4 linked regions of the Xenopus tropicalis genome follow. The protein of the gene in region 2 interacts with the protein of the main gene of each other region in a pairwise test. Links are inferred from orthologs where the notes say so. Each region holds a gene or a part of one and is shown on either strand. Other genes may lie near its edges.

The links.
Region 1: the proteins of tnik (region 2) and pafah1b1 interact in a two-hybrid assay, tested with the Homo sapiens proteins (2 studies listed by BioGRID and IntAct). The link is inferred for Xenopus tropicalis from reciprocal best matches to the Homo sapiens genes TNIK and PAFAH1B1.
Region 3: the proteins of tnik (region 2) and clu interact in a two-hybrid assay, tested with the Homo sapiens proteins (2 studies listed by BioGRID and IntAct). The link is inferred for Xenopus tropicalis from reciprocal best matches to the Homo sapiens genes TNIK and CLU.
Region 4: the proteins of tnik (region 2) and akap9 interact in a two-hybrid assay, tested with the Homo sapiens proteins (2 studies listed by BioGRID and IntAct). The link is inferred for Xenopus tropicalis from reciprocal best matches to the Homo sapiens genes TNIK and AKAP9.

The regions. Positions count from the first base shown.
Region 1 is NC_030678.2:47,815,411-47,821,072, reverse strand, and holds the start of pafah1b1 (lissencephaly-1 homolog), read right to left. Parts: upstream 3,378-5,662; 5' UTR 3,092-3,377; intron 1-3,091. UniProt on the Homo sapiens protein: Regulatory subunit (beta subunit) of the cytosolic type I platelet-activating factor (PAF) acetylhydrolase (PAF-AH (I)), an enzyme that catalyzes the hydrolyze of the acetyl group at the sn-2 position of PAF and its analogs and participates in PAF inactivation.
Region 2 is NC_030681.2:111,487,138-111,492,969, reverse strand, and holds the start of tnik (TRAF2 and NCK-interacting protein kinase), read right to left. Parts: upstream 3,638-5,832; 5' UTR 3,151-3,637; coding exon 3,094-3,150; intron 1-3,093. UniProt on the Homo sapiens protein: Serine/threonine kinase that acts as an essential activator of the Wnt signaling pathway. Recruited to promoters of Wnt target genes and required to activate their expression. May act by phosphorylating TCF4/TCF7L2.
Region 3 is NC_030681.2:159,884,817-159,889,846, forward strand, and holds the end of clu (clusterin), read right to left. Parts: intron 4,566-5,030; coding exon 4,395-4,565; intron 3,730-4,394; coding exon 3,315-3,729; intron 2,917-3,314; coding exon 2,803-2,916; intron 2,429-2,802; coding exon 2,199-2,428; intron 1,754-2,198; coding exon 1,679-1,753; 3' UTR 1,662-1,678; downstream 1-1,661.
Region 4 is NC_030682.2:31,454,447-31,460,028, reverse strand, and holds the start of akap9 (A-kinase anchor protein 9), read right to left. Parts: upstream 3,416-5,582; 5' UTR 3,262-3,415; coding exon 3,208-3,261; intron 1-3,207. UniProt on the Homo sapiens protein: Scaffolding protein that assembles several protein kinases and phosphatases on the centrosome and Golgi apparatus. Required to maintain the integrity of the Golgi apparatus. Required for microtubule nucleation at the cis-side of the Golgi apparatus.

The sequences.
Region 1 (5,662 bases), on a different chromosome or scaffold from region 2:
CCAGAATGCATGTAACATGGCCGAAAGCAAGAAAAAAGTTTAAATGCCCATGAAAATCAAATACATACTATAGCTGCTTAACAGCAATTAGTACATTTATATTTGAATAAAATATTGAGATACCAGCTTGATAACAATTTATACTATTATACTATACAGATAATATTTAATATAACTTTTTAAAGATGCAATGATAGAACAACTTTCAAAGCATTAATCAGGCACTGCATTGTAGGAGTGGCTTTCCATAAGACAAAGAATGAGCTTTATTTAAAAAAATAAAAACAAAGAAAACAAAAGAGTAAGGATAAACCACATTAAAACCACTGGGTAAAGGGTTTGTCACTCCTGGACAGAAATTTTAAAAAAAGCTTTCTGTAAAGCAAAAGTAGAAAATAGGGTATTAGTGTATACAAAATGTTAACCCTTCTATGTAAAGTAACAATGCAGAGCATTCCATTACTAATATACTAATATAAAATATCCTAACATTTAATGAACTGTAAAAGTTCACGGATAATCTGGCAACATACCTTTAACCAAGCAATTGATGCAGAGGAAATCAGAAGTAATAAAAATATCTCAGCAATTAAATGTCACAATGTGGGTATATGGTGTTTTACAGAGCCTTTGTTGTAAAGTCCAAGCATTTGGATATCCAGGAAGCAACATTTCACCACTGATAACGAAAATGGAAGTAAACAATGTTTTTTTGTTTTACTAAATAGCTCAAATTCAACCCAAAACTTAAGGTTTATATAGTGACATTTTAGTCAGGCTGAGATGCTAGAATCCCTTTAAAACACTGTGGAGAGTTTACTGTCACCAGACAAATAAAACAATAAATATTTATTCTCCACATAAACAAGATAAAATATAAAACAATTGTCTGATAGTATTAATTATATAAAGTAAAACCTCAACAAGTGTATAGAAGAAAAAAAAAAGCAAAAGCTTTGTTTAAAAGAAATTTTCAGTTTCTTAATTGCTCAGATTTAGTCACATAATTTGGTACTGTGAAGCTGTGTAATCCTGAATGATGCCAAATACACTATTTTAGCAGAGCTGCAGAGCCAAAGCATCGCCTCTGCCTCCTTACTCCACCCAGTTTCCTCTCTGTCCCTGTTTGACGGCGGTGCGCAGTATCCTTTATTATGAGCCCAAAAAAAAAAAAAAAAACCAGACAAACAACAAAATCGCTTCTATCCAATTGAACACATTGGGAAGCATCTAAACACACACATCTATATTATAAATATTTTAATTATCGAGATAGAAATATAGAAACTATGTTTTCTCTTCCAGAATACTAATGGTTAAGGATAAATTGCACAAGAACCATCAGCAACATGCAAACACAGGGCAGTTTTACAGCACTCAAAGATGAACACGCAACCCATAAAAAAATAAAATAAAACAGGGTTACAAATGCCTAGTCATGATTAAAATTCCTGGCGTAAGCAATATATTGTTCATTTGTTAATCTGAATGCCTTACATAGGCACACATGACAGAGATTTAAAAAAAAAAAACAGCTTTTCTAGAGAAATAACAAAGCATGGATTTAAAGAAAAATAGCACTTATCACCTTTAGAAAACCAAATGAGAGAATGGATGTCAGATTTATAGCAGACTTATTGATCTGCTAAAACATTAGGAGAAAAGATACCCATGTTTTACAAAATAAGTATGAAACATTTGTATCCGGATGACTAGTGCAGGTAATTACCATTAGTTTCAGCCATCATAATTTCCCATGTGTCAATCCCAACTCTTGCTGCAAGCCTTTCAAGTGTCTGACTTGCAACATGTACACACCTATACAGCATCGCATAATACACATAGCCCTTTATGGACTTAACCCATCATCCCTATCCTTGGAGACACCAGGGCATGACAATGTAAATGAATGTTATCATGATGTGAGCACTCAACTATAAAAGTTATATGTCAGAAGACTTAAATGGCAGCACTTGCATGACACAAAAGATGACAAATGTCACTTCTAGGCCCACCCCCCTGTTTTTCTTGATGTTCCGCACAAGAAGAGGCCCTTATGTAATGCTGTTTAGAGATGTAGCCTTGTCCAGATGGTGAAGACATCCCCGTTAGCAAGATGTTGCAGGAAGAATTAAAAATAACATAATACTGGAAAAGGTGCGGGGGCGGGCGTGTACAAACATGGAATGCCCCTGCCACACACGAGTTAAATTGATACACAGCAGTTATCTCGTTAAGGTGAAAGTCCTTTTATTAGTAAACGGCTTATCAAATGAATCAACTGAATCCACATTATATGCTTTTAACTGAAACTATGCATTTATGACACAGAAGTGAAATTGAAATTCATTTCCACAGAAACATTCATGTGCCCCCCAGGCACAGCTGGCTGAAAGTTGCAGTTCAACGACAATTAGTAGGCCACAAACACACACATCACTGCAGCAAAGAATCATATAAATAAGGGCTAGTAAATCATTAATCAAGGGCACAACAGACATCAAACCTGCAGCTCTAAACAAGTGGGGGTACCAGACCATCCCTTGATGCTTATAGCATATACATGTCTGAGGATTCACTGATTGTGATGTCAAAGACGCCCTACCCTATGTTCTCCAGTTGCTGCTGAACTCTAACTCCCACCATCCTTTGACAGCTGGGAAAAATGGTTCTGCAATAGCAGGAGGTGCAGGTTTTATAGCCAAGCTACAGCATTAGTAGGCATGTTGCTGTAATGTACCATTAAGGCGTCTTGTTTAAAGCGATGATCTGGCAAACTGCACCCCCACCCCTCCACAAACAACACCCACAAGCACCCCTATTATAAGCCTTCCAAGCAGAAGACTGGGGGAAGCAGCTCATGAAACAGCTGGGAAGGTGCAAGCAGGAGATCCTTGCCTAAAGCTTTCCTGTTCCACCCCCCTGCGGGCTAGGAACAGTAACGGCTGGCCGCCATTTTGAGAAAGTGAGAGAGAGGAGAAGATGAAGGAGGGAGGGGAGGAGGCGGCGGCAGCAGCAGCAGCAGCCACATCGTCAGACAAGGCCTTGCATCCCGCCTCTCTCCCGCCCGGTGATCTAGCCGGGCACTTACCGTGCAGGGTTATCCCAAGCACACAGCGGGAGAAGGATTTCTTCTCATGGCCGCCGGGCAGCTCCCCTGGGCAAGGTCTCTGGAAGGGCGGGGGATGAGGCTCCCAGTTAGAGCCTGACGAGGTGACAAGAAATCAAATAAATAAAAATAAAGAGCTTGGGTGTGGAGGTCGGCGGGGCTCGCTTGTATGTACGTTGTTTCCTGTCAAATTGCACTGAATCCGTCTTCTCTGCAGCTATTCCTTTCTAAGGGTCCGTGCCTCCCTTTCTTCTCCGTGGTTTCCGCCGGGGCTCTCAGGGAAGCCGCCGCCGCCACCGTGCTGTCAGCGAAACGGAGCTCAGGAGCGCGGTGACGTCATATCAACCGCTGAAGGAGAGGAGGAGGAGGGAGCGACCGGCCGGCTGTGGGGAGTGGGCTTGCTTAATCGGGAACCGCGCCTGCGCCCTAGCGGCGGCTGCCTAGGCGTGGACGAGGAGGGGGAGAGATGGGGAGGGATGACAAAGGCAAATGACGCAGGGAAGGCGGAGAGCGCAGGCGCCATTATGACGGAAGAGGGAGCATGCTTGCCCTTCGCGTTCACGTGAAAGGAGAGTTTGTTTGTGCAATTCCTGCGCTCCCCTGTGTGACAGCTGTCTCTGTGTGCGTGAGAGTCAGTACTCTGTATGTGTGTGTGAGAGAGTCAGTACTCTGTATGTGTGTGTGAGAGAGTCAGTACTCTGTATGTGAGAGAGTCAGTACTCTGTATGCGTGTGAGAGTCAGTACTCTGTATGCGTGTGAGAGAGTCAGTACTCTGTATGTGTGTGAGAGAGTCAGTACTCTGTATGTGAGAGAGTCAGTACTCTGTATGTGTGTGAGAGAGTCAGTACTCTGTGTGTGTGAGAGAGTCAGTACTCTATGTGTGTGAGAGAGTCAGTACTCTATGTGTGTGAGAGAGTCAGTACTCTGTATGTGAGAGAGTCAGTACTCTGTATGTGTGTGAGAGAGTCAGTACTCTGTATGTGTGTGAGAGAGTCAGTACTCTGTATGTGTGTGAGAGAGTCAGTACTCTGTATGTGTGTGAGAGAGTCAGTACTCTGTGTGTGTGTGAGAGAGTCAGTACTCTATGTGTGTGAGAGAGTCAGTACTCTATGTGTGTGAGAGAGTCAGTACTCTGTATGTGAGAGAGTCAGTACTCTGTATGTGTATGTGAGAGAGTCAGTACTCTGTATGTGTGTGTGAGAGAGTCAGTACTCTGTATGTGTGTGTGAGAGAGTCAGTACTCTGTATGTGTGTGTGAGAGAGTCAGTACTCTGTATGTGTGTGAGAGAGTCAGTACTCTGTATGTGTGTGAGAGGTTGGGAGTCAGTACTCTGTATGTGTGTGAGAGAGTCAGTACTCTGTATGTGTGTGAGAGAGTCAGTACTCTGTATGTGTGTGAGAGAGTCAGTACTCTGTGTGTGTGTGAGAGAGTCAGTACTCTATGTGTGTGAGAGAGTCAGTACTCTATGTGTGTGAGAGAGTCAGTACTCTATGTGTGTGAGAGAGTCAGTACTCTGTATGTGTGTGAGAGAGTCAGTACTCTGTATGTGTGTGAGAGAGTCAGTACTCTGTATGTGTGTGAGAGAGTCAGTACTCTGTATGTGTGTGAGAGAGTCAGTACTCTGTATGTGTGTGAGAGAGTCAGTACTCTGTGTGTGTGTGAGAGAGTCAGTACTCTATGTGTGTGAGAGAGTCAGTACTCTATGTGTGTGAGAGAGTCAGTACTCTGTATGTGTATGTGAGAGAGTCAGTACTCTGTATGTGTGTGTGAGAGAGTCAGTACTCTGTATGTGTGTGTGAGAGAGTCAGTACTCTGTATGTGTGAGAGTCAGTACTCTGTATGTGTGTGCGTGAGAGTCAGTACTCTGTATGCGTGAGAGTCAGTACTCTGTATGTGAGAGAGTCAGTACTCTGTATGTGAGAGAGTCAGTACTCTGTATGTGTGTGCGTGAGAGTCAGTACTCTGTATGTGTGTGTGAGAGAGTCAGTACTCTGTATGTGAGAGAGTCAGTACTCTGTATGTGTGTGTGAGAGAGTCAGTACTCTGTATGTGAGAGAGTCAGTACTCTGTATGTGAGAGAGTCAGTACTCTGTATGTGAGAGAGTCAGTACTCTGTATGTGTGTGCGTGAGAGTCAGTACTCTGTATGTGTGTGCGTGAGAGTCAGTACTCTGTATGTGTGTGAGAGAATCAGTACTCTGTGAGAGCGTCAGTACTCTGTATGTGTGTGAGAGAGTCAGTATTCTGTATGTGTGTGTGAGAGAGTCAGTATTCTGTATGTGTGTGAGAGAGAGTCAGTATTCTGTATGTGTGTGAGAGAGTCAGTATTCTGTATGTGTGTGTGTGTGTGAGAGAGTCAGTACTCTGTATGTGTGTGAGAGAGTCAGTACTCTGTATGTGTGTGAGAGAGTCAGTTCTCTGTATGTGTGTGAGAGAGTCAGTACTCTGTATGTGTGTGAGAGAGTCAGTACTCTGTATGTGTGTGTGAGAGTCAGTACTCTGTATGTGTGTGAGAGAGTCAGTATTCTGTATGTGTGTGAGAGAGTCAGTAT
Region 2 (5,832 bases):
GGCCACATTGTATCACGTCAAGGACAAAAACTCTGCACAGTCCCATCAACAATGTCCACAAGTAAGCGCAGAAAACAACATAATAGAAATGGTGACCAAGTACAGGTATGGGATCCCTTATCCAGAAACCCATTATCCAGAAAGCCTGTCTCCCATAGACTCCATTTTAATCAAATAATTACAAATTTTAAAACTGATTTGCTTTTTCTCTGTAGTAATAAAACAATACTTTGTAATTGATCCAAACTAAGATATAAATAATCCTTATTGGATGCAAAACAATCCTATAGAGTTTAATTAATGGTTTAATGATTTTTTAGTAGACTTAAGGTATGGAGATCCAAATTACAGAAAGACCCCTTATCCGGAATACCCTTGGTCCCGAGCATTTTGGATAATGGGTCCTATACCTGTACTGCATAACTTATGATAGATATGGAGTGTATGATCATATAATCACCCTAAATGACTGTCTTATAAAACACTGACAATGTCACCCCCCAAATTCTATAATCAGAAGTTGCCTTGCCTACTTATAAACAACTAGACTAAATGAACAACAGTAGCTGTTGAATACACACACACAAAATAAATGGAAAACAAGCTTCAATGGCGTTGTGGAAATATGCATTGCTTACACTGAAAGTAGGGCACAACCGCAAGCTAACAGGGACAAAATATATTGTTTTAACATCATGACAAAACTGATAGTATATACTGTATAACAAATTTCTTCTGCTGAAATTGAATTTTCCTTATAAGACACAAGCAGCCCTTTTTGGTGGCAAATGGGTTAACAGTCCTCAATCAAGCCTGTGATTTCAAAGCATTGATTTGAAATGCTAAATAGCACAATATGTGCTGGGTGAAATAATACAGAATGCTACCTGCTGGCTTTTTGTTGAATGCCAAGAACAGCACATTGCTCATTTAAATCCAAATTAAGGATTGCATAAAATACTAAAATATACCTTAATAATATGTTTAAGAGAACCATCATAAATTCAGCTATGTCCAATAAAGGGTGGCAAATTGTGGCTAAAAAGCAGTTGAAGGGAGTGTGTGACTCTGGAGCCCTTGGCTGCCTTCACAGCATCAAACATTTGACAGGCCCGCTGCAGAAATAAAACAAGCTGTCCTCGTCAGGCTCTGTTTGGACAGGTCCAGTGCCCAAGGTTGTTTCTGCAACAGACTTGACCCTTGACAGGAATCTCAAGGTAAGCCAGCAGGGAAAAGAACTAATGGCAATCCAGAAAAACCTCTAAGCGCTGCTATCCTTTCCACTCAGGCAGCCAATGCACTATTGATTCCCCATCCAGGCACTGTGAAATGACTGGGAAACCTTCATACCATCAATATGGTTTCTGACCTTCCACTACGATCATAAATTGTTTTCCTCTAAGAATAGCAAAAATTGGATTGAAACAACTACAGCATAAGGCGTGCTGCCTTAGACATAAAAGGGTTAATGCTTTGTGGATTTGCCCCATACATTCATAATACAAACAGCTTGAAAACATAATAGAGATTGCATCCATCTAAAGCCTGAAGGATTTATTTAAACTTGCAGAGTCAGATACACAAGCAGGATATTATTTAAGAAAGATATGTTTAATTCAAATGATATGATGGGTCCACTGACTTTATATTTCTGTTTAGGCTTGAGATAAAACCAGCAAGCACGAGCACTGAAGCAGACATAAGACTCTCAATTTAAACAGCCCTACGAGCCATGTCCATCCTTAATCTCGCTGACTGTACAATAGTCTAGCACATCCAGCCATACAAAGAATGCTGTTTCTTACAGACACCATGTGAACATGACAGCTAGCACAGCACAGCCCTCATTAGCACAGGTCATTTTAGGAAGCCTGAGTTGCAAGTGCCTGCAGACCAGAAACTGCTGCTATCTTACGTGCATTCCACTTGTATATATACATGCTTTTTCCAAAGCGAACATGGCACCCTTTAACTAACAATGGCTGGTATGTTGTACAGTGGATAATGAAAACAGATAGCTCCTCAACAAACAGTGGAATGAGGAAGGAGTCAATTTAAACCAAATATGCTCCCAATGTAAGAGTTGGCACATAGCAGCGACAAAAATCTACGATTATCTACCATTATTAAAGTAGCCTATTGACCTGAGAATTGTCCGGTTACTATGCCATCAACCTTATTGTCTTAGGAACTCTACTGCAAGAAGGGCTTGATTGGTGGTAGAATTCAAAGAGCATTCTCTCCTTTTGCACTGGATCTCTAGGCTAAATCCAATCTTCCATATAAATCACCAATGAGAATACTAAATTGCTCCCCACAACAATGTGGCCTTTGTCAGTGTGGCCTTTATACATGGCGGTGTCTTTCAAAATTTAATAGCATACATACAAAACAGAAGAATGGCATTATATAAAGACATGAAGCAATGAGAAACCCTGATGTGCCTTGTAGCAGTGATGTACCTGGGGCCCTCCAGTGCCGGCTGAACTACAACTTCCAGCATCCCCCACAGCCTATTGCACTGTACTGACTGAGGCAAAAGCAGACACTGATAATGGGAAATGAAGGCAGCGCAGCGGTAGGCAAGCATTGCTGTGATGTTTAGCCATCGACCATTCAATACAGCAATGAATTGATTTGCCCAACAGCCTCTATGTGCACATTCAGCAGATATACATAGAAATTGACCCCTTCCCCTACTTGTTAATAGTCCGCCCCACTCCTGAGATGATCACATGAATGCATAATGCTAATATTGCGTTTTAGGCTGAATATACTCGGTTTCTATGTACATCTTTATGTGTAAGTGGCTCACCAAATGCGATATAATGATGAGTGGCTTTGTGCCTGTTATTCACACACTGTTCTGCTATGGCTATTCCATTCACAATAGGAGAGCACTGACAGCAGCAAACCAGATGAATGAGCATTATTGTGTATAATAATCACATATCAGTGAGCAGCACAGTGCGGGCTGAATAGACAGCTCTCCATCTCGCCCCTAGGACTGGCACAATAAAGAGCCTATCAGCCCGGATCCCCCGCAGCAGCAGCAGCAGCTTCCCACAATAACCCCCCAGAGACATCACTCACCCTCAGCGCCGACAGATCTATCTCATCCAAGCTACGAGCCGGGGAGTCGCTCGCCATGTTTCCTTTTCTCTTGTATATTGCACAGAGCTCCCCGTTCTTCCCACCTTGCTGCTTCTCCCAGAGCCGAGCCCAGCATGCGGCGGTCCCGCCCGAGCCCAGAAGGTGTGCGGCTTGCGGTGCTATGAGAGAGGAGGCGGGGGCGGCTTGCAGTAGGACATGCTTGGGCTCTGCCTGTATGGCAGCTGCATTGAGAGGAATAATAAGACACTCTCACACTCACAGAGCGGAGGGATGGAGAGGAGCTGCTGAAACAAGCCTGTCACTGCTTCCTGGGAGGAGCCACACGCCAAACTAGGTGGATCCGTCCGGAGAGATGGTGCTGCCCAGCGCCGCCTTTTCCTCTCACGGTCGAGGAGCGTTATCTTATAGAGCGTGTGGGAGCGCTATCTTATAGAGCGTGTGGGAGCGCTATCTTATAGAGCGTGTGGGAGCGCTATCTTATAGAGCGTGTGGGAGCGCTATCTTATAGAGCGTGTGGGAGCGCTATCTTATAGAGCGTGTGGGAGCGCTGTGTGAGAGGGGCTCCTTATACTGCAGCAGGTGCATATAGCTAAACAGCCTTGCCTGGGGGGTGGGGGAGCTGTGTGTCCGGTATAGAGCAGGTAGCTAGCAGTAAGGTATTGCAGTACTTGGAGTATTATTATTTATATAGCGCCAGCGTATTCCGGAGGACGGTACAATGCAGTGGGAAAAGGAACAAACCTTAATCTCGGTACTAGGTCACCAGATCTGGATGGAAAGGCAATATGAAGAGTAGCTGGTTATAAGCAGGGCATTCTGGGATTGGCCGGTATATGTAGGCGCAAAGGAGCTGTAAGAATGGCATGGGGGGGGGGGGGCTGGGCAATATGGAGAGTAGCCCAGAAACCCTGGGCAAGGCATGCTGGCCTATAACAATATAAAAGATCAGCCTAGCAGTGGTAAGGATGGCAGGCAGGGATAGAACAATATAACTTGCCTTGGAGAAACCCTAAGGGCCATGACACACGGGGAGATTGGTCGAATGTCATCCTAGAATGTAAATCGCCGGTGGGATGGCATGCGCAGCTCCGCGGTTTGCCGAAGTTTCCTTGAGAGGAAACTTCAGCAAATTGCGGCGCCGTGTATGCCATCCCACCGGCGATTTACATTCTAGTCGGTGGGATGGCATTCCAGACGCGACTAATCTCCCAGTGTGTCACAGCTCTAAACCGTGGCAGACGGGGAGATTAGTCACCCGCGACAAATCTCCCTTGTCGCGGGCGACTAATCTCCCCGAAATGCCATCCCACCAGCGAGAATGTAAATCGCATACGCGGCCCCGAAACCCCGTGCTGCGTATGTGATCCCACCGGCGATTTACATTCTTGCCGTTGGGTTGGTATTTCGAGGAGATTTGTCGCGGCCAACTAATCTCCCCGTCTGCCATGGCCCTAAATAGGGCATACTGGGAAAATTTAGTTGAGCTGTAATTAACAAATGGTGGAATAGGGAACCATGCAGAGCATTTGAAAAACTAGTATCAAAGTATGCTGTTAGGAGTATATTAGCTTAGAATCCAAAAATAGTATTTGTTGGGATAAGCCAGTCAGAAAGCAGCAAGCTGAATAGGGCAAAATAAAGACTCCAAAAAGGCTATAGTGAGTTAGTGCTGATTGAGTGTCTAGTGCAGGGCTCCCCAACCTTTCTTACTCGTGAGCCACAGTCAAATGTAAGAAGACAAAATAAAGGCCAAGATTGGCTATTAGGTAGTCTCTATGCACACTATCAGTTACAGGGGGCTTTATTTGGTAGTAAATCTTTTTTTATTCAACCTAAACTTGCCAAGTCAGAAATTCAAAAATAACTACCTGGTTTGCAGGCACTGAGAGCAACATCCAAGGGGTTGGTGAGAATCATGTTGCTCACCAGCCACTGGTTGGGGATCACTGGTCTAGGCGGAGTTACATATGAAGCATGCAGGAGCTGGACTGTTAGGAGCTACAGAAGATTTAGTGCTATGAGAGTAGGTCCCAGCATGTTTGTATGTAGTTAGGGTCATAGATAGGCTTAGAACCAGAGAACATGCATATAGGGCTTATATGTAAGTATTTTGAGAAGAAGAAACCAATAAAGCATGTGGAAATACAGAGCAAGAGTATGTTAATTTGCAGCACCCGAAGAACAAGATATTTGTGTAGTATCTGCTTACTGCAGTTTGCCCATTGCCCAAACCTCTATCATTCAGTGCCACAGCTGTAAGCCACTGTGAGGCCCCCTAGTTCTCATACAGTAATCTATCTACTTATCCTCACCCATCAAAAGCACTTGTAGGGACCCATAGGGTTAATCTGCCCCTATTGCTTTAAACCCTACTACTTCCTTAGTTTATGCTGTTACTGGGAAAAGACCCATGTATCTAGTTTATCCTTTGCTATTATACCTTATTGCTTTATTTGGTTGATCACACCCCTTGCACTCCAAAATAGTGCTTAGCAGGAGTGTGTGGCTTCCTCTGTGTCTCAGGAACAGGTCACTAGCCTGGGATCAGAACAAGGCCCCAGTAAAGTCTTATTGCCCTAGGGTTACCATCTTATACTCTAGAGAAGTCGGGGACAGGGACCCCGTGCACAAGGACCAGTTAGATAGTTACTCTTTTAAGAGCATTCTCTAGGAGAGTGAGATAGAGAGGGATGGAAGCAAGCACAGTTTCAGCTCCAC
Region 3 (5,030 bases), about 48 Mb from region 2:
TAAAAACAAGATTTCCTACCAAATAAAGCCCCCTGTAAGCTGATAGGGTGCATAGAGGCCCCTAATAGCCAATCACAGCCCTTATTTGGCTCCTCCATGAACTTTTATGGTGCTTGTGTTGCTCCCCAAGTCTTTTTACATTTGACTGTGGCTCACAAGTAAGAAACATTGGGGATCCCTGTTCTAGATAATACCCAAGTGTAGCAGAGATGATGAGCAAAGTGCCTATTGTGGTATCACCCAATCAGATATAGCCCTGCCCAACGTTGGACTGACCAAACAAGGAACCATGTAGGGAAACCATAGCCGCACATGTACGACAATGACCCCTCAACTCTTCCCTGAGCCCAGAGGTTCAACTAAACTTGCCAGACCCTGGTGCCTCCACATTGGCCAATGATATTCCTACAAGCTAGAGAACATCAGATCATTGGTTAACTCTTCAAATCATGAACACTGGAGGGTTGAACAGAATGCACCAATTGGAAATAAGTTATGGAGTTGAATGGGTTGGGTGTCCCTATGGGTGTAGGAGATGCCAGTGACTTGCCCGGAGGCCAATCAAGAGGGGGAATATGGATGTGTCCCTCATGGCTCTCCATACATCCTTTATCCAGGAACCTTTCCCCACAGGAACTGTGACCACAGCAAAGGCCCCGCCTCTCCATACACAATATTACAGGCCATTTATTTGTCGGAATCCTACAAAAATAATAAAAAAAGCAGCATGTGGCAGTAACAGTAGTAACGGAACAGTATGAAGAGTATCGGGCTCTGGCGTCAGGAGGTAGCGGAGGTATCAATACGCTTTGCCTATTGCTCGGGGGCGTTGCCATAGGGGTCGCGGACCTGTTCTACGGAAGTGGCAGGAAGAAGCCGCCGATGGGGCCGAAGCAAATCCCACCGGTGTCGGGTCAGGCAGCCTCACTGCAAAGAGTAACGGGGGGGCAATAAGTTTCCATGTACAGGTAGGGTATGAGTAACAGGACCACCAGGTTAACATCAACAGGTTAACTGGGTGGCACTCAGTGCAAGGTTCAGGTAGTGTTTATGGGTGAGAGAACCTTTGCTAATAGCATTTAAAGGCAAACTATACCCCCCAAACAATGTACTGTAGGTCTGTACTGTATAGGTGCCCATGGGAGACCCCCACTTACTCTCATCTTAATTTCCACCAGGATGCAAACTGCCTGCCCTGATTGGTTTCCTGATGGAAAACATGGCTGGCTGTGCTAGTATTCATCAATGGCCAATGACCCTTACTGCTTAACTTTCCCTTGAGATATAATAGCCCCTCTAACTGCCGCCCACTGCCATGTCAGGCTTACAGGTAAGTATCGGCCAAGACTTACACAGCTTCCGCTTTAAACCTCTTAAGCGCTTCCTCGGCCACCAGTTCCCCAAACTTCGGGTCATCCATGGAGATGTATCCGGGCAAAGCGAAGGTTATTGGGTCGGAGTCGAAGACGTTGACGGTCACTTTGGTGTCGGAAGGAGACTCTCCTTCCTTGGAATAGATCTAATGAACATAGAGACGTAAGGAATGAGTGGAAAGGGGCAGAAGGCAAGAGACGGGCCATAGTGTAGAAGGTCTCCGAAGGGGCATCAAGCCCTTAACCTAATGCTCATGGTGGGACTTTCTACACGTATTAAGATCAGGGCATTAAATGAACATTGCTCAGTTTGGGTCAGAGTCAAAGACGTTGATGGTCACTTTGGTATCGGAAGGAGACTCCCCTTCCTTGGAATAGATCTAATGAACACAGAGAAGTAAGGAATGAGTGGAAAGGGGCAGAAGGCAAGAGACGGGACACAGTGTTGGCTTTCTGAAGGTCTCCAAAGGGGCATCAAGCCACCAACCTAATGCTCATGGTGGGACTTTCTACACGTATTAAGATCAGGGCATTAAATGAACATTGCTCAGTTTGGGCCCACAACTGCTCAGTGGTGATGCACTTGATTTAGGAAAATGGTTCTGCCCAGTGAGCCCATTGGGTCCATTACAGTTACCTGATATACAGGAAGTAGGGCTCAAATCCCAAGTAACTCTAGGACCTCTGGCTTTGTGGCCCTGAGAGAGAACCTTTAGCCACATTCAAAATGTCTCTGTTGAACTTGCCAAGGTGCCCAGAAGGTCCTTGGTACCAGGAAGCCACCACACCCCGGCCATTGGAGGAATAACACAATGCACCACTTACAGTGGAAACTTGGAAGATCCCATTCTTTCTGCCCTGGGTCATGTTGGTGAATTTGGAAAGCCACCCAAACTGCTTGTTCAGCTGCTCCAAGATACCGGTGGTGTTGAGCATCTTCTCCCGGAACTGTTCCAAGAGGTCGTCGTACTCCCTGGTGAACCTCTCGGCGAGGCGCAGGGAGTCCTGAAACACCTCCTGCAGCTGCTCCTGCACCGGATCCTTCCCGGAACAATCTAACATCCAGATAATGAGCCCCATGTGATCAAACGGAAAGTAAAAAACTTCATAGATTTCATTAAATTAAGAAACATGTTTTTGAATGAGTGTCTCAAGGCCCCGGTGTGGCCCCCAGAGATGTGTATGGACCCCCCGCCATGCCCATGACATCATCAGGCTGCTACACATGACATCATTATTACAATTATACTATAAGGGAAATAGTGGGCAACACTGGCAAAAAATAAATGCCTTGGCCTTGGCCATCTGCTGGCAGAATGCGGTATTGCAGCAGGTCCGTTCATCTATTTCTGGGGCTCAATGCATTTCCACAAATAAGAGCATTCATGAATGTACTTGTCAGTACTTATCTACAATGTAACCTACTTACCTAATGCTAAAATCTCCTTGCATTTCTCACACTTTTCCTGCATCTTTAAACAGCCGGCTGAATTGCGACGCAACTCCTTACAGACCAGTTTGTCATCGGATTCATCGCCATTTCCTACATAGGAAACAACATTCATTGGGGGTGGGGAGGAAAGGAGATCTCACCATCAGCATAGGAAGGGGTTCCTTACTGTAAGGGCAGTCAGGTTATGGGGTTCCCTACCAAGAGAGGGGGAATGAGTGATACATTGGGGGGGGGGGAGGAAAGGGGATGTCACCAGCAGCATAGGAAGGGGTTCCTTACTGTAAGGGCAGTCAGGTTATGGGGTTCCCTACCCAGAGAGGGGGAATGAGTGATACATTGGGGGTGGGGAGGAAAGGGGATCTCACTATCAGCATAGGAAGGGGTTCCTTACTGTAAGGGCAGTCAGGTTATGGGGTTCCCTACCCAGAGAGGGGGAATGAGTGATACATTGGGGAACCCTGGGAGATGGCACACAGTATAATACTTACCCCTTATGGAGCCCAGTCCTTCCAGCCTTGGGGCAAAGTGGTGACTTCTTTCCATCATTTTCTGTGCAGCCTCTAAGAGGGACTCGAAGTCCCCAGAGAAATAGGGGTGGAACGAGGGAGACCTTGCCCGCCGAGACTCAGCAAATGGGAACCCGACTCGCTGGAAGGGAAATGGGTTCCACTGAGACCCAAAGAAGTCACTATGGAAGGAATTACTGAAGAACGGCTTCATTTGCCCAAAGGCTTTGATGCTTTCCCTGAAGAGCTCATCGACACTGTCCTCCACCAGACTGTAGCCCCCCTCAAGGTCATCCAGGGTCATAGACTGCTGCTCTCCCTCCTGGGTCAGCGAGTTGATCTGCTGTCCATTGATTAAAATGGAGAATGGAGAAGATTGGTTCAGGAATTCCTCAAACTGCAACAGGAAAGAGAAATGTGGAATGAGCGAGTTATAGGCCTGGGTGGTCCCCCAGCTGATGGTACAACACAACCTCTAGCAGCACCCTTGCATCCAAGGCTCTGGTCTCCTTACCTTACCAGGAGATACCTGGTGGTCCAGTGAGCTCTCTACTCCACCCAACCAGCTGGCCTCACTTATCTGCCTCCACCATGGCTTTCTTGTCTTCCTGAGGGCCACTACAAGAAGTTCTTAGCTAGGTATTATTCCCAATCACAGGGGGGTGTCCTCCTGTCCAATAATAGAGCTGTGGGCTCCATTTATTGTCTTATGGCCTTCCTACATGCTGAACATTAGGGCATCTTACTTCTAAGGACCCTAAAGACCACTTATGATGGATCAGGAAAGAAGACAGGCCCACCTTATGGTGGACCAGGAGAGAAGACAGGCCCACCTTATGGTGGACCAGGAGAGAAGACAGGCCCACCTTATGGTGGACCAGGAGAGAAGACAGACTCCCTCATGGTGGAGCAGGAGAGAAGACAGGCCCCCTTATGGTGGACCAGGAGAGAAGATAGACCCCCTTATGGTGGACCAGGAAAGAACAGTGAGTTGAAGGTTCCCTGGTGGTACCACCCAATAGCAACGCATTCGGACAGACTACAGACAGGTGTCAGACTTACCTGGCGCCCCACCAGGCCAGAGCCGCTCCGGCAGGTTTTGGAGTAGAACCTCACACAGGTCTGTTTCAGGCAGGGCTTGCACTCCTCCCAGAGGGCCAACATGGTCTCGTTACACACCTCCTTCTTCTCCGCAAGCTGCTGCTCCGTGTCTAGGGCTCTCTTTAGGGCTTCCTGCCGGAACCAACGGGATCAAATGGGTTTCAGTCAGAAACTGCCCAGAAACTGTACATTCTAGAACTATTGTAGAACTACATCATTGTGAGACTATCTTCTGAAGGTGCTTCTACTGGTAGATATAATGGATCGTTTTAAGATGTGTCAGATGTGTCTGAAAGGTCCACAAAGATAAAAGCATTGGAGTAGTGGAACTATGTTCCTCTGTATGTAGCAAGGGGTTTTGTGGGGTTGATACATGTTCTCTTTGTCTCTTGCTTATTCTAGGGATTGGATGGATAGATAGATAGATAGATAGATAGATAGATAGATAGATAGATAGATAGAGATAAATGATAGATAGATAGATAGATAGATAGATAGATAGATAGATAGATAGATAGATAGATGATAGATAGATAGATAGATAGATGATAGATAGATAGATAGATAGATAGATAGATAGATAGATGATAGATAGAT
Region 4 (5,582 bases), on a different chromosome or scaffold from region 2:
GACAGTAGACTACTGTTACATTTTATTTGAGTCTCAAAGTAGTCATCCATATTATTACATTAAATTTAAGAAAAGGCAGCATAATAATAATGTATATTGCAAAGTTGCTTGAAATTATGTTTACTTTTCATAAACCTTACATTGTGTTTGGGTGGAGTTCCCCTTTAAATGATTTTAGACCTTAATTGGAATTGTTTACAAAAAAATATCAGCTGTTTTTTTCCTATCAAAAAAGCTAAAATAAGTCTTAGCTAGAACACAAGGTGTAAATTACACTAAACAGATGATTGCAATGAAAGCAGGCAGTTTGTAATTCAGTTTTTAGAAAAGTTCAGTGACATAAACTTTCAGAAAATCTAACAAATTCAATTTATCCAAAAGAATGACAGATCAGCAAAAACAGACATTAGCAATCAATAAAGACAAAGAAGTAGGCAGACTTCTACATATAGTGAATAAGAGCACTCAGCAATGTTGGAAAAGTGTTACATGTTAATCCTGCTGAAATCTAAGCAGCCGTCCCTGTGCTGCAGCTGTCCCACAAAGAGCCAAAAAGGCACCAACACATGCTTACACCTGTTCAGAGATTCATGAGTTTAACAGTGAACATGAATATAAAAAAGGAGAAGGGCTATATACGATTTATGCTTTCGTAAAACACATACACATTGTCCTTTTAGCAAATATGCACAACTATACAGTGTTACAAAGTAGCTGCACTGAATACACAACACTTTCAGCGAATAAAAACAGGCATTTAACCCAAGAAGCACAGAAAGCAGTAAACGGTAAATATGGGAGCATAATTTATTGTTACACTGACATGCAATAACATGCACTGTTTATGGGCACACACACACACACACTAACTCCTGGCATAGACATGGGTGCTTTATGCACAATGCAAAAATATATACTATTTTATACAGCTGTGGGTATGTGTTGCTCTGCAGCAAGAAAAAATACACATATTTATATTCAGAATGCAAACACTACAACAGTAACCCATGGTATACATGTGAAATTGACACCAATGGAAAAAGTGATTTAAGCAAAATACACTTTCCAAATACAAGCCATTTTATACAGTTGTGGGTATAAATGTGTCTTGATTAAAAGTATACCTAAATAGGAAGAAAACAGACACACAAGTACATACACTCGCACCTATATTCTGTATGCACACACTACAACACTAATCCATGGCATGCAAAAAACCTTACACCAATGAAAAAAGTTATTTAAGTACACATACATTCTATGTACCTGCCATTTGGCATATATGTGGGTATAAATGTGTGTTTATTTTTAAGTATTTCTCTTCAACAGATACACAATTACGCACCCTACAACACTTACCCATGGTATACATGTAAAATTAACACCGATAAAAAAAGTGATTTAAGCACGATACACATTCTAAATAGAAGTCAATTTGTATAGTTGAGGGTTTAAAAACTATTAAGTATTCCACTGAATGTGTATCATTTTGTGCACATACTGACACAGAAGCTGCACACAAACATATAATACCACAAAGTGAAACATACACTGCACTTAACATAATAGGCAAACAGGATCCAGACACACCAAAAGCACACAGAGACACAAGAAACCAGTTGCACCAAGCAGCAAAGTGATGTGAAGCAAGTACCACAATGATGCACAGAGACATGCACAAGTGAAGGGAATGGTACAAGGCCCCAGGGTACATAGAGTGATACATGCACAAGGTGGCTCATAGGTAGAATGTTTGGGTGACATGTGCACAATGTGGCTAATGGCAAGGCATAGTGACACATGGACAGAATGCTGTAAGGTGCCATGCACACACAGGAGGTTGGATGGTGACACATGGACAGAATGCTGTAAGGTGCCATACACACACAGGCGGTTGGATGGTGACACATGGACAGAATGCTGTAAGGTGCCATACACACACACAGGAGGTTGGATGGTGACACAAGGACAGAATGCTGTAAGGTGCCATACACACACAAAGGAGGTTGGATAGTGACACATGGACAGAATGCTGTAAGGTGCCATACACACACACAGGAGGTTGGAAGGTGACACATGGACAGAATGCTGTAAGGTGCCATACACACACACAGGAGGTTGGATGGTGACACATGGACAGAATGCTGTAAGGTGCCATACACACACAGGAGGTTGGATAGTGACACATGGACAGAATGCTGTAAGGTGCCATGCACACACACAGGAGGTTGGATGGTGACACATGGACAGAATGCTGTAAGGTGCCATACACACACAGGAGGTTGGATGGTGACACATGGACAGAATGCTGTAAGGTGCCATACACACACACAGGAGGTTGGATGGTGACACATGGACAGAATGCTGTAAGGTGCCATACACACACACAGGAGGTTGGATGGTGACACATGGACAGAATGCTGTAAGGTGCCATACACACACACAGGAGGTTGGAAGGTGACACATGGACAGAATGCTGTAAGGTGCCATACACACACACAGGAGGTTGGAAGGTGACACATGGACAGAATGCTGTAAGGTGCCATACACACACACAGGAGGTTGGATGGTGACACATGGACAGAATGCTGTAAGGTGCCATACACACACACAGGAGGTTGGATGGTGACACATGGACAGAATGCTGCAAGGTGCCATACACACACACAGGAGGTTGGAAGGTGACACATGGACAGAATGCTGTAAGGTGCCATACACACACACAGGAGGTTGGAAGGTGACACATGGACAGAATGCTGTAAGGTGCCATACACACACACAGGAGGTTGGATGGTGACACATGGACAGAATGCTGTAAGGTGCCATACACACACACAGGAGGTTGGAAGGTGACACATGGACAGAATGCTGTAAGGTGCCATACACACACACAGGAGGTTGGAAGGTGACACATGGACAGAATGCTGTAAGGTGCCATACACACACACAGGAGGTTGGAAGGTGACACATGGACAGAATGCTGTAAGGTGCCATACACACACACAGGAGGTTGGAAGGTGACACATGGAGCCAGTGACATAGACACATCAGAATGGCAGGGTGGCACCCAGACAAACAGGGCGGCGGGACAGCTCGCACAGACACAGCACGCCAGGAATATGCAAACAATGGAAGCCCCCCTTCCCCAGTGACAGCTGTCAGAGGGAGACACACACACAGACACAAAGCCTCCCCACATTCCCTTACCTTAGCCTTGCCGGCCTCCAGCTTCCTCTTCCTCTCCTGGTCCTCCTCCTCCATGCCTGCGCCTGTACAGACACACACAGCAATGCGCAGCGTTAGCTACAGCGCCTACCGCTCTCTCCCATCTCCACGTAAACATTCGGCGCACTCCTCTGACGTCACCCCAGCGCCCGGCAGCGGCGAGAGAAGTCAGTGGGGGCGGCACCGATTGCAGCAGTGGCAGAACTAGGAGTTGACAGCTGCTGTTGCGCTGCTGCAGTTCCCAGACACTTAAAGGGGCACTGCCCACACCAAGGCATTGTGTGCAAAACAGACAGAACAAAGACAATCTAGCATGTGAGCTATACTTAACCAGCACATGTCCTTATAATGAGAAATCTTTTCTTACAACGTGGTATTTAAGTGTAATATTTTCTTTAAATTGTAATTATTACTTAAAAAAGTTATTTTGTCTCTAAAATTTAAATGGTATACTATAACAATAGCATGACTTTGGATATATAGTAGTTGAGGTTAGACAAAGACACATCTGTCAAGTTTACCTTTATGCTCTGTTATTGCTGTTGGTTTACAATGCAAACCAATCATCTAATGTTTTTGCATTGAAAACATTTAGCAAGGGCCAATCCCTGCTGTGAATATGGTGCATCATATAGGTACCATTACTCTTACCAGAACTACTTTAATGCAACGGTACTTACTCTATCTGAACTGTATTTATTGATGATGTCTCTACCCACCTCTTACATTCCAGTTATTTGAGCACTCCCAGAACTCCCAGTGGGCCCCTCTGACAAAGCAATATGTGATCGCTGTATGAGGAGGAATTTTAGCTCATAGTAATTTAGCTCACAAAACCTATAAGAGAACCCTGGAATTATTTTGTACAGTTCATTTGTGCAGAGTCAGAACAGGTTGAATGGGCACACTGGTGTTCTTTTCAAGATGCAAAGGAGTGTTTATGGGTTCAAGTACCTTTGTATATAGCATCAAAGCGTATTTTTTAGCTAGTGTTTGTAGGAGGCTTCATATTATGTTCCATTAAGGTAAACATAAAGAATTATCCCATATGTGATGGGCTTGAACTCAGAAGTAGCTCTACAGAAAAGAGATCTGCGTATGACCACTATGGTTACTGTTGCTATTGTTGACAAGCAATATTGCAGTAATTACTCATGGGTATAAATACAAATATGCAGATACTGGAGGCAGTGTGCTTACAGTGAGAATACATTTTACTGAAAAACAGTGTTTAAGTTCCGTTTACAGTTGGTAGCTTTATCACTTTCAATAAAAGGGTTACAGAAACCGAATGTATTTAGACATCGAGGGGATGGTAGCAGTCTTATTAATGCTGTGAACCGGTGCAAATGTGCAGGGAAGGGAAGAAAAAGAGCAAAGAAAGAAGAGAGAAAAGAGGTAAAGAAAGAAAGAGAGAAAAAAATATATATGTAGTGTAGTAATTTCTCAATTCTGATTAGTAAACACACCTCAATCAAACTTATAGTGCAAATTTTAAAAAATGCTAATCAACCTTATAGTTGTGCAAAGACCTATTGGTGCCAATGTATAGTGTTGTTGTTCCACAACACCAATAGGCAGAGTACACCTCTCCAACAATTTACAAAGTGTTCAAGTGCTACTGGTTCTTTTGTTATATAGAATTCAGGGAGTTTGCAGGGAAAGTTTTTGAACTGTGGGAAGTAAACAGTGGGTATGTATTTTATTTTATTTTTGATATTTTATTAATGCTGTGAGAGATCAGGGGTTTTCTGTATTTAGACAGCCACTAAAGCATGTTAGCCAGCCATTGCACAGACTCAGTATTTGCAAATATGCGGACAATTTGTTTTTTTTTACATTCCATGTTCCTTTGACCTTCAGACCCTGGATCACCATATGTTACTGGGGGTAAGATACTGTAAAGCACAAGCACCGTCCAATGTTATTTAAGCTGTTTTTCACCTAAGGCCCTCTTTGTCGTGACATACTAAATATGAAACATATATTTGCAAGTAAATGAATGAATGCAGATTGCAGGTTAATAGTATACAAAGAAAAAAAAAACCTTCACGGAAAACTGTGAATATTTTAGCCCATAACACCATCAAAATCCCGTTTGTGAGATAAGTAATATACATTTGCTCTGTTCTGCTGACTATAAATTACCACTTCAGGAAATCCATTGTTATGAGCAGTGAGTCTGAAGAGCACTTCCACCTACCACACAGAACAGGAGCTTGTATAAATACATATTAATGAGCTATTATTCACCAGAAAGACAATACTGAGAAATAATTGAATATCTTTCCAAATATGAATATAAAGTATTTTTTGTCGTTGTGCAGCAGTAAAGAAATTGTTACAGGAAGGCATGA